Drosophila melanogaster: one gene and its partner. The protein of the gene in region 1 purifies or fractionates together with the protein of each later gene. This does not show direct contact. Each region holds a gene or a part of one and is shown in the gene's direction. Other genes may lie near its edges.

What was found. The genes of interacting proteins can lie anywhere in the genome.
Region 2: the proteins of tapas (region 1) and tej purify together in Drosophila melanogaster (affinity purification with western blotting, with the first as the bait; one study listed by BioGRID). This does not show direct contact.

Annotation. Positions count from the first base shown.
Region 1 is NT_033778.4:20,317,461-20,325,211, forward strand, and holds the start of tapas (tapas), read left to right. Parts: upstream 1-1,719; 5' UTR 1,720-1,877; intron 1,878-2,334; 5' UTR 2,335-2,352; coding exon 2,353-2,562; intron 2,563-3,035; exon of another isoform or gene 3,036-3,228; intron 3,229-3,533; exon of another isoform or gene 3,534-3,667; intron 3,668-4,217; coding exon 4,218-6,764; intron 6,765-6,832; coding exon 6,833-6,951; intron 6,952-7,037; coding exon of another isoform or gene 7,038-7,059; exon of another isoform or gene 7,060-7,257; intron 7,258-7,387; coding exon 7,388-7,661; intron 7,662-7,718; coding exon 7,719-7,751. Other genes in the region: CG13871 (uncharacterized protein), read left to right, coding at 1-1,510.
Region 2 is NT_033778.4:14,299,603-14,304,268, reverse strand, and holds tej (tejas), read left to right. Parts: upstream 1-1,915; 5' UTR 1,916-2,023; coding exon 2,024-2,215; intron 2,216-2,273; coding exon 2,274-2,594; intron 2,595-2,663; coding exon 2,664-3,149; intron 3,150-3,209; coding exon 3,210-3,412; intron 3,413-3,477; coding exon 3,478-3,844; intron 3,845-3,901; coding exon 3,902-4,012; 3' UTR 4,013-4,166; downstream 4,167-4,666.

The DNA of each region.
Region 1 (7,751 bases):
AGTACGCAGGTACTCATATGCGGATACCTCGTGGCCCAGGCGGCCGTTCGGCAGCGAGCGAAGGGACTTGGCGCCTTCGGAGCAGCGATACTTCTCCGATCCGGAACTGCTCTTCCAGCGGCTGGACGACATGGAGCAGAAATTGGGAATTCCAGAAAAAATGGCTGCTGCTGGCAAGGTGAAATCGGAACACTATCTGGTTGGTCCCACGAATGTTGCCGCCCAGATGCTCAAAGATAACTTGTACAAATTTCCGATTGATGACGGCGCCATTGGACAGGGAATGCACGATGATTGTCTGGGTAAGGAGGATGTGGATGATCCCTTCGAGTCCCTGGCCAGGATGAACTTCAATGAGCATTTGAATGAGCGTAAGTCCGATCGTGAGCTCAAGAGGGTGCTGGGTGGCTACTTAAACGACCAGCAGCTGGATGGAAAACCAGCTGTGGCAACAGCCAATTTGCTGGCCAAGGTCATTAGCTCCAAGGTCGATCAGCCCAGGAAGTCTGGGCCTTGTCGTGGCACCACGGCTCGATCCCACGGGTTCACCACAAGAAGCCCTACGACTCATCGGACGACCCTTAGTACCACAACGCGCAGTCCCACCACTTTCTGCCTTCCGGAACCCTCATCCGATCCTCCGCTCAAGCCGCTTCCCACATCTCCACCAACACCTCGTCCTCCGCCTTCCGCACCTTCGCGTCCACCAACGACGCGAAAGCCATCTGCTCAAAGGATTAAGCCCAGTAATAAGTGCCCCATATCGACGAAATCTCAAAAGCTAGGAGGTGCCAAGGTGCTGCTGGAAATCATTTTGGCCACCAAGCAGCATGCCCTATCGGTGCTCAAGAATCTCAACTACCTGGAATTGGAACTGCTAAGTCACTCAACGGACGACGATGTATCGGAGAACCACGTTAAAGAGAAAGAACCAACAACAAAGACGTCTGAACGTATCGAAAAACCCGAGCCAAGGCCACCATCCAGGGTATTTTCCTTTGGAATTCGACCAGCGAGCCAAAAAGAGAGCTTGTACGACTTGGCAGTGGCCAAGGAGGAGGAGTTGAAACTGCAGGATCGGGTGTGGGAGGAGCACCAGCAGCAGATGAAGCTAAGGAGGCCAATGAAGCCAAAGAGGTTTGAGGTTGCTCCGGCGGCTGCTGCACGCCTGGAACCTTTTCAGGAGCCTCGAAAGCCACTGAAGTCCATAAATTCCATGGAGCCTTTTACTCCTTTGGAACCAGAAACCTCCGACGACAACAGACGTATCAATCTGGAAGCCTTGAGCGTGGTAGTCAAGCCAATGTCCTCCTTTCCCAGAAAGGATTCTCTTAGCTCGTCGCCGCGAGCACAAATGAATGCTGTTCAATTGGAGGGCACAAGCGATGATGAACTGCATCCAGGCAATACATTTGAATTGAGACCAAGAAAGAAGAAAAAACACAAGTTGTACGCTATGGAAAAGCAGACACAGACTAAAAAGCTACCCATTGCAGGAGTTTTTTATTAAGTCATTTGTATAAATATTAACAGAGTTTTATTGAAACATTTATTCAACACTTAAATATATTTTAAAAATAAGAAGTTTGAATTTTGGCGCCAATACGTTAACCCTAAGACAGTGCTTGCTTATAGCTTTTCGTATTTATATGCCACTTGACGTATTTTTTGACATCCAGCCCACGGTCTCACTAGAAGGCGCCGAAAATTTTAGAAACGTCAAGCGAGAATGAACTCCCGTATTGTTGTGTTAAAAGGAACTTCGTTCGGGATCATCGGAATATTCATTTCTCAGGAAAACCCCAATAGTCTCATTTATGCAGTTTGCAGTGCATATCTTGCTGAGACTCGATTTTTATTAATTGTTTAATAGTTTGGTAAGGACAGAAAACTCACAATATCGCATTACGACACATTCTTTGTATTTGCACAAACGAAATCAAATTCTAAAATATAGATCAAAATAATTTAATTCTGCGTCTGCGCCGCCGCTTTCGTCCATCTCTTTCTCGTCTCTATTCTCTTTATTTTTTGCCCCTTGTCCGTCTTATTTTTCTAGCCCTGTGTTTGCCAATTTTATTGTGCACACTGAAAGAATAACGCGGAACAGGCGCAACTCAATGTTTGCAGAATAATTTAGACCCTTTCAACCCTTTAGACCCTATAGTTTAGAAATAGTATATTAGAAATTTCTTTTTGCCGCGTTGTTTTTTTCTGTGCATGCTTAATTGTTGCTGATTTGGGAGTGGGGGTGGCGGTGGGCGCACGCATTCCACGCCACTTGAATCATGCTCAATGGGTTAACCTCTCTCCGCCTCTCGCTCTCTTCGACAGAATCGTGGAACGATCATAATGGAAAAGCAGGAGGTCCTGGAATACGTGGCCAAGGTGGTCAGGGCCCTAATCACGTCAGCTAAGCCGCCGGTTACGCTGCGGTCCATCGTCGCAGATTACATGGAGATTGAGGGTGAGCCGATACCCTTTCGCAGGCTGGGCTACTCGAATGACCAAGAGCTGCTTAAGGATTCGAATCAATTCAACTTTCACCAAAGCGGTAATCAGGTAAGTGCCATCTCCGTCCTTCCAATTGTTACGCCTGTTGCCTAAATTGTTGGCAAGATTCTTTGCGAATTATTGCATATCGCAAATGTCAGGGAGTGAGCGGCTCTCTTCCACCCACTTTAACCGCTTTCTTTTGCCCACTTCGCCTGAGCTTGCTCTCTGGGTGCCTCTCTCACGTGCGCAGCTTTCGAGTTGCTCTCTGCTGGTGTCACCATAGCTGTTAGCTAAAACTAGCTAGATATTTTTTACTTTCTTTTCAATGTATTTTAATTAATTAGAATACTGGAATTAAAGAAATCAGTGTTACTGAATTTAGGAAAAGGAGATGGTTAGCTAGTTCCGTTTTGATTTCACCTTTAATGAGAGTTTGTAATTACTAATATGGCCATAAAAACCGCTAGATCTGACGTTAACTTAGACAGGTGGTCATCGCCGCTGACTATCGAGCTTTTCGCGAGCGGCGCCCACCGCTTTCAGTTCGATTCTCTGGCTGAACGCGTGCGGTGAGCCGCTGCTGCTGCGCTGCTACCTTACCGCTTCACTCTGTGTGACCGACCGCTCGACGGACCGTTCCCGCCCGCTCTCTCCGTCGAAAAGGGGCCGCCCGCCGCTGAAGGGGCAACGTGTCAACGGCGTCTTCTTCTTTTCATCTGCGCCGTGAAAAGTGTAAACAATGGATCTTACTTAGTCTAGTTTCGATTTCGCCTGGTACACTTGTACATATTAAACAAATGCGTGCTGATTAAGCGCTTTGCTTTAATAAGTGCAACGACAGTCGAAAACAAAAGTGTATAACGCGAAAATCGAAAAGGCCAGCAATTTCAAATTGCCTGTGTGTTCGTTCGTATGCGATTGCATGTTTGCATGGTGAAAGTGAACGAACGTTCGTCAGTCGTATGTTTTGATTTTTTCTCTATAAATGCCAGTCCCCATCTGGCCGTATTGCACTTGAACTGTGTGCATTATTCTTGTTTAGCCGTCTGCCTCCACACCTGTGGGCGAAAGTGGGCGTTTGGATGGGCGGGCTCTTCCGGCCAACGCTTTTGCATTGCTTGCCAAATCAATAATCAGACGAGCCAAACGAACGAGTGTTATTCATTTAATTGTAATTATGTATTCTGTATCTAGCATTCCGAGCTCTCGCTCTGCACCATTATCACGTTTGGGGCTTGAAAACCCCCTGCCCATATCCAGATCGCTGTGACCCTATAAAGATGATTGCAGCAGCGAAACAGCTCGACTCAATGTGAATCATAAACAAAAACTCAACTTCTTCAATCCACTCGGATTTCCAAACAATTAAGTGGACTCACTGGGCTTGGCTGTAAAATAGCTGACTCTTCAGTTAAATGGAGCATATTGGATTTCCAAACTCAAGAGTTGTTCGAGCAGAGCCACTTTCCCCTTTCTAGAAGTGGTAGCTCATGTATACAGTGTAGGGTTTCCTGGTTAAGGGTCGTCGTATACAATAACCGGAACTTATGCATTAGAAAGATTGTCAAAAGGATTTACATCTTAAGTTCTCCTAATATACCTAATATATATTATATACATACAGATATTAGGGAAACAGATAAGCATTTAATACAAGTAGCATAATATGCAGCATAATGCGAGTTTCAAAATTAATTACCTTCACATCTATCCCGCAACAGGTGTTCATCACAGCGAAGTATAACGCTAACACAGAACATATTGTGCGTATGGTACGTCAGCAGAAGACCAGCAAGTCCACAAGCTTATCGAAGCCCACTCCAATTGCCCAGAAGCCCAAGCCAATTGCCCAGAAGCACACTCACGGCAATAAGTACCACTACCAGCAACGGAATAAGCAGCCGAATCATCAGCCGGATCAAGAAATAGGAAGAGCAGCTAAGTGTGAGAATCAGGCTATAGCCGAGCATAAACAAGATCTAACGGGCATCATAACCCAAGAGCTGTTTGAAAGTTTCAATAATATTCAAGGTCCGTTTTCGGAAAACCTGCAGGTTTTCAACAAAAATCCAGAATATATCACAAGGCGAAAGAAAGAGCTTAAGAAAGAAGACGATCTAGATCGTGGTCAAATAACGAAGGAAGTCGCTAGGGAAAAACAGAAGGAAAAAGAAACCCGCGATCGGGCTGTGACGGAAACGATCTTCGTAACAATTGAGAACAAAAAGGCACCAGTCATGAATGGACATGGACCAAGGCACGTTAAAGTGGCTAACGGACAAGACAAACACAATGACGGCAAACCTCCGCTGCGTGCCATACTGGGCAACAGTGCTTCGCAGCGCCAGCAAGATACAAGCACCGTCTATCACAGCCCTGAATCCTCATTCAAGCGGCCACGTCATCCGCGAGTAATGTACCCTGGTCACCAGCGCACCACGGGCGTCTCTGTGAATCACAGATTGAAAGTAACGCCGCAATCGGATGCACCCACGCCAGCGGTAGCGCCCATCACGCCGCCAGCTTCGCCGGAATACGCTCAAACGACAACCGCCGCTAAAGCGACGTACAAAGAAGATATCCACGGAGGTCAAGGTGAAACAGGCAATGTCGTTACAAATCCAAAAGTTAAGGTGCCACTTAAATTCGATCCCTCACTTGATCCCGTCTCCACGCTCAACTTCTATTGCGCGGCAAATGACTTTGAGAAACCTGCATACAACATATTCAACAAGCTACGGAACCTACATTGTTCAGTGCAAATCGCTGGCGATGTTTACAGTAGCTATCCGCAGGAGTTCACCGATAAGGAGACAGCATACCAACGCACAGCACAGATCGCCATCCAGCGCATCATGCATGCCCAGTCACACCAAAAGCTTTCTGCTTGCACATTTAGCGATGTGGAGTTTATCGATGGATTGTACAAGGAGCTGTTAAAGCACCCACATGGCATATTGGGTCACAAGCTGGAGGATTGGTACGGCAGCACCTTCCGGCAACATCTGCCCAGTCATTGGTACGATTTGATCGTGAAGTCAAATAAAATTCGTGTTGAGCACGGCATTGATCCAAGGATCATATTGTTTGCCAACGATCCTGGTTCATCGGAGCCGGACCGCACCAGCATAACCACCCTGCCACAGATGGTGCTGCCGTGGCAGTCAAGCGAAGGAGGATCGCACGACTGGAACATGTTCATCAGCTTCTGCGACTCCACCAAGATAGTGTGGGCTCGGATGATCGATCAGATCGCAAACTTTGAGGAACTGACGAAGCATATTGGACGCCAAATGGAGTCTCCGCATTTCCGACAAAAGGTCTCTAAACCTTACGCTCAGGAAGTCTATTTAGTGGAGATGCCCGATGGCTGGAATCGTGTTCGTGCAATTTCTGTGGATGAGGAGACCCGCTCGGGCCGTTATCACTTTATCGACTTTGGCGATGTGGCAATGTTTCATTCAGAAGATCTCTTCCACTGTCCACCGCAGTTCTTGGCGCTCCCGGCCCAGGCCGTGTGCCTCAGCATGTATGCGTTGGATAAGTTCGAGGATCATCCGCACGCTCTGCAGGTTTTAACAAAGGAGCTGGACGGCCAGACGGTTGTGGCCCATGTGCTCACCACGGAGAAGCAGTTCCTGGAACTGGGTGGATCTGCCCAGGGTGTGGTGGAGAACGGTAAGCGTCGGGCGTGCTTGGTGGCCACGCTGTACGACACCTCAACGGCTGAGGACATTCATCTGAACGATCTGGTTGCGAAAAGAATAACGAAGTGCACGCCGGCACCATCGCTGAGTGATGAAAAGAAGATCGGCAAGACCACGCCCATTCTTGTGTCTCACATCAACGATGATGGTGATCTAATGGTGCTGCTACGCAATGATGACCTTAAGTTTGTGGAGCGCAGTATTGCGCAAACTGTGGCTGATTTGGGCGAGCAGGACCGAGTGAGCTATTCGGATCTGCTCCACGACCGCCATATATTCGTGTGCGACGAGACTGTCGATGGCGTCAAGCAGTGGTTCCGCGGGCGACTGGTCACCAGACCACTGAATCCGGACGAAGAGTCCTTCGATGTCTACTACGTGGACGATGGACGGCAGCGTAAGGCGCACATCTCTAATATCTACCGCCTGGAGGCAAACAACAGAGCTCTGGCTACGTTCCCGCCACAGGCGATACCCGTTCGCCTGCACGACGTTCCAGAGATCGGAGGTCATATGCTTCATCGCCTGCGTGGTCTGATACCTTGGCGCACCGAAGCTCTCGTAAGTGTTTTATATGAAAGGGATGTTTTGAAAGCTTGTCGAATCCGTAACACCATTTTCTCCCGCAGCTGAAGGTTGTGGCCATGGATGGTGGTAAGCCTCTGGTAAACGTATTCATCCGCGAGGATCCGGAGTCCATGTATATGTGCGTGAACATTGGCCTTCGCCTGGAGCTCGAGATGGCTAGGTAAGTGCCTTTATTGAAGCTTTTGTACAATGTCTATTCATTCTATATCATTATGGTCAATGTCATCTAATCACATCGTCATCAAGCTCCCTAAACAACGACATCTGAATTGTGACTGGTGCCCTATAAGTTTATATTAACAATATAATTGATCCTTTGCTTAATGCTATCTCTATAAGTGCTTCAATAAACCGGAACTGACTTGATATGTTATTGCTAACACAAATTCGATCTACGTTTTGTAAGCTTACCCTAAAATCATGCACATCTTTGTATATAATCTGAAAAATATACTCTTAAGCTGCCACACATATGTACTTTACTACCCAATAAGCCCGAAAGCAATCAGATTTTTTAAACCTTGAAACCAACAATTGCCTCCCAATCCCCCAATCTGGCTTGTTCCCGCCCCACCCTTGATTCCCCACCCACACAGCTCCATTCATCCGGAGAAGTATGATCATACGCTCCTGAGCTCCAATGTCCAGCTGCCCAGACGCGGTAGCTTCAGCTCCGTGTTCTCGAATCAGAGCAGCAGCAGCGACCTTGTCGCTACCACTCCCCCGGTGACGCCAGAGAAGAAACCATCCGCAAGATCGACCGGCAGCACCTTTTCGTCTCTCATGCTCAAGGATTACGAGGCTATTCCGGCAGTGGGTGCCTATTTCGAGGTGCGCGTTGCCCTCTCCGTCAATCCCGGTCACTTTGCGGTAAGTCAATCATCAGCAAATTAATGACTCCGATTATGATGTGCGATTCTTCCGCAGGTGCAACCGTACAAATACTATAACCAGCTGCAG
Region 2 (4,666 bases), 6.0 Mb from region 1:
TAAATGGGGCATAGGCAGTAAATAAATCAGGAAATCAATTGGTATTTAAAGTAACTCTAATTTTAAAGGAAATCCTAAGGAAATCTTCTTTCTAAAGGTATTATTCGTGGCTTATATTTCACTATTACTACTACACTTTTAAAATAGGCTCATTTAGAACTATATTTTCTTGTATTTACATTTATTTAAAGTGAGGATAGATATTGATCTAATTCTAAAATGTTTAAGAACCAATAGCAGAAGTGGCACAGCAGCTCCACATATTTTATGGTCTCGTTTCGGTCATAATTCTGCTCATGACCAATGACAACTGTGGCGATATGTCTGGCGAAGATCGGGCCGAGATCTTCAGATCAAATCGAACCAGCGGCCGTCCTATAACCTGGTGGCATTTGCTGCGGGCCATGCTTCGGATTGTCAGTTAGTCAGTTGGCCAGTCAGTCAGTCAGTCAGTCAGTTAGCCAGTTCGTCTAATTGGATTTGCGCGCTTGTGCGTAACTATAAATCACACACGAACACAGGCAAAAAGATGGAGCCGTGGAGCAGGGACAACCGGTTTGATTGCCAAGTCACCCGCTCATAGCCAACTGCAGAGATCCCATCGAGCTTTTTTCCTCCTCGGCTCAACTATTTGTAAAGTGACCAAAACGGTAACAACAAAAACCACAATAAAGTTGAATGTTGTTGCTGCTGTTGTTCCAGTTCTTGTTTCCCCGCAAACAATATAAAGAATATAATTATGCGGCTGCATAAAAAACCAAGACGTACCTGTATCTACTTACGCAACGCAGAAAATGTGGAAGAGCCGCTTGTAAAATTTACATGGCACAAGGCCCCTTTGCCGGTCGTGTGAAAATTATTAATGGAGTCACTGTCTCCGGACAAGTTCATGTGTCATGTGTGGAAAGTGTTGGGTATACACCAGCACCTTCCCGGAAAAACTCAATTTTTTTGGGCGGGTTTTGAGTTATGATTTATCTGCCCACCGCCCAAGTTGTAAGCGGATGTTGTAACAACCAGCAATTGCAAATCTAAATGGCCAAGTTCTAGGTAAAAAAGTTGTAAATGTCTATGTTAAATATCGAGTCAAAGATCAACTCAACCCGATCCGATCCCAAAAAACATGCCATTTGCCGGTGGTCTTCCATCAAGCCCCACATGTGACATGAACTTACGCTGAACTTGTAGCTTCCTTCAGCTACTTGAGTTTCACGAGGAAGGACGTCTGTCGGTCATATAGAATTACATAAAACAACAGCGGCATATAGAACTTTAACGAAAGCTGAAACCGCCATATGGCTTAACCGGTTTTGAAAGTGGCGCCAATCAGTCATATATGTGTGAGTACGGCAGCACTAAGCTAATGTATTGTTTCGTAGTGGTATGCCAACTTATTAAAAAATAATGAAGTTTAAACGCGGCGGGAAATTTCCGATTGGCAATTTTTATGTCTGGCAGCACTATCCTATCGATAGCAGAAAACCATATTAACAAAAAATTATGATCAAGTTCTCTTAAAAATCGATATTTAATGGTTGGCTAAACTATCGGCGGCAGAATTTAAAATATGACTTTGGAATATCAGATTGTGTTTGTTCTCAGAGTTCCGGAATGCCGAGCTTATAGGCTTATGTAATTAAGAAATCATCCAGTAAAAAAGGAATATACATATTCTTCAGAAATGTTCAGAAAATTGAGTAGTTTTAAGGTATTTATAAAATTAAGCCTTCTCTGGTTCACCTATAAATAACGAAAAAATAAATAAATAAAAAACTTCCCCATGTTCCATATTCCACCGTTCCGAAAAACTATCTCATCGACGCTTATTTAATAACAATACTATTAATTTAAGTTGCTAACGACGCAGCCGTTATCGATAACTGTGTGCAATACTACGTTTACAGTTAGCGTGTTGATTATTTGGAAGCGTGTTAGCGCCTTTTTTGCATGGAATCAGTTCATTCTAATGAACTATAGTGAAAAGAGGGACGTAAATCTGCAAAATCACAAACATTAATTCAGCATGGATGATGGAGGGGAGTTGAGCTTGGTGAAGAAAGTTGTCCACTCGCTGGTGGTGTCCTCACCAGGAAAACTGACCGTTGAGCAGTTGATGCGGGATTACCGCAGCGAAGAGGGCTGCACTTTGCCCTACAGCAAACTGGGATTTAAGGACGCCGAATCCTTTCTCCGATCCATTCCGGATACGGTTACGGTAAGTAAATAAAGTATACATCCAAATGAGCACTCGTTAAGCTACAAGCAATTACCAGGTGACGGGCCACGGACAAATGGCATGGATAACTGCAGTAGCCACTGCCAAATCGGCGCACATTCAGAAATTGGTCCGTTGCCAAAAGAAGTCCAAGAATCGAGGCTCCCACAAACCCAAGTATTGCTACGCCTCCGAGCCATCCAATCTGGTCTTCATTAACGAAAGCGTCTCTAAAATGAAAAACAGAAAAGCGCCGTTCCCAACTTATCAGGTGCCCAGAAATCTGAAACTTCCTGTATCATATCCCAACTATAATCGACTGTTATATCCCGTCCATACGCCTCATATTGACCAAATGATCAGCACCGGACAGCAACAGGTGCTATATAATCATCTGCAGTATAACTTTTATCTTCAGTCGCTGAATAATCCGTATGCCTTTCCGCAGAGTACCCTTAGAACCCAAAGGCCAAGCTTTCCATGTAACGCCAACTCCAAGTCATTGAAAGTTAATGATTGGTCGCAGAAAGACCGAAAACAGGAACCCTCAAAGGAGCGAAACAATCAGAAATATCCTAAAATAACTACTGAGAATAAGCAAGAGAAAGAAACCGAGGAATTGGCCCAAGCTTTTGAAAACCTTTCCGTGGATGTTGCTCCCACTGATCACCAAGAAAAGCTAAAGTGCGAAATATATGAGGATAATGAGGACGAATTCGTGAGAGACCCCTTTATCTATGGAGAGGTTAAAGAGAAAGAAGATGAAGCGGTGGTGCTCGCATTTGACGCCGTTTCCGAGGATGGTTTTGATCTCTTATCGATGACCACAACTCAACAGAATGCTGTCAAGCCCCTGGATCCGCCGGAGGATTGCTTACACTACGCGTCTTCTGACGATGGGGAAGATGAAAATGCCATTCCAGCTTATGCTGTGGTAGGTTATAGCTTGATTCGTCTAAAATGTAATGCTGATTCCGGGCTTTTCTTATAACAGGACCATCGAGTTCTGGACGTGGACTACCCTAGGGATGCGGTTCGTTCTGCTTTCACACTGCCTGCTCGCGATATTGAATCCATTATCGAATTACAGCAGCGCATTAGGGTGCAGTTGGTGAGTTTGGTCAATCCACACAATTTTAACTTCTGGATATATAACGATGACTTTAAAGACTACGAGGCACAGTTTGCCAATATGCAGTAAGATATATAGATATTCATATTAACATTCTGAGAGATATTACAATATTTATTTTCTCCTATAGAACGTTTTATGAAAGTTCGGAATCGAAAAATTACACAATGCCACTGTTTTTGATAACTACGGATCATCTTTGTGTGGTCCGCTGTACGAGTGGCTGGGAAAGGGCCAAAGTATTAGGTTATCGGTCCAGTAACAACAAAATGACGATCGAGGTTGAGCTGGTTGACATAGGGGACATAATCCGCGTGAGCCAACAGAATGTTAAGTTTTTGATCAAGCCGTTTGCCTTGCTGCCACGTCAATGTTTGGCGGGTCGATTGGCGTTTATAACGCAGTGTAAGTCTCCAAACTGGACCGCAGAAGTTGTTAATTTCTTTCACGATATGATATTATTGCGCCTGCTTTACGCCAAGGTCGAAGCTATTAAGGTGAGTCGATTAACTTGTACTGTCTAGTAAAACGTGATATAAATTTCACCTTTTTAGAACAACACTGCCTATCTTGTGCTAGTTGATACGGAATCACAAGGACACACTGTTAATTTAAATAGATCGCTCATAGAAACTGGTTGGGTGCGGCGCTGCACGAGTGCATAGATTTCTATTATATGGATACTGCATTAATTGCTTTAATTACTTTAATGACCAATCTTATTGTTGAGCACAATTCAAATCCCTATTTGTCGAATAGATTGATTATGTTTCCCACAGTATGACTTTAATAAAACTCGTTAAAGTATTATTTTAAGGCAAACGCTGTCCTTCTGCTTTCTTTTTATTAGTTTACGTGTAATAAAATACTAGGTTACATAAATCCTTCAACAAGTCGCTGTCCTTCGCCTGATTTATGCACGAAAGTAAAACAAACAAGGACTCAAAGACGAACCACTTGCAAAAGAGATCTCGCTCGCAACTAAAAGTGGCATCTTGAACGGAAATTCTGAATCTGAATGGAAAATCATGATCTCGCCTGGTGGCAGGCCCGCAATAAATACTTGAAATGTAACTGAGGCGCTTTAACAATTCCCTATAAAAGACAACATTGTCTATGTTTTGTATATATATGTTGTGTATATAGTTGGTTTCTTGTCTGGTTTTAGATTTTTTTCGTTTGTTTTTTTTTTATTTTTTGGTGACCGCTGAAACGACGGCACCCTGAGGTTGGTTTTTAATATATTTTTCATTATGTTTTTTTTTTTTTTTAGGCTTCTCTACTACGTTGTGTGTCGAGTGGTGTTTTGTTTGTTAGTG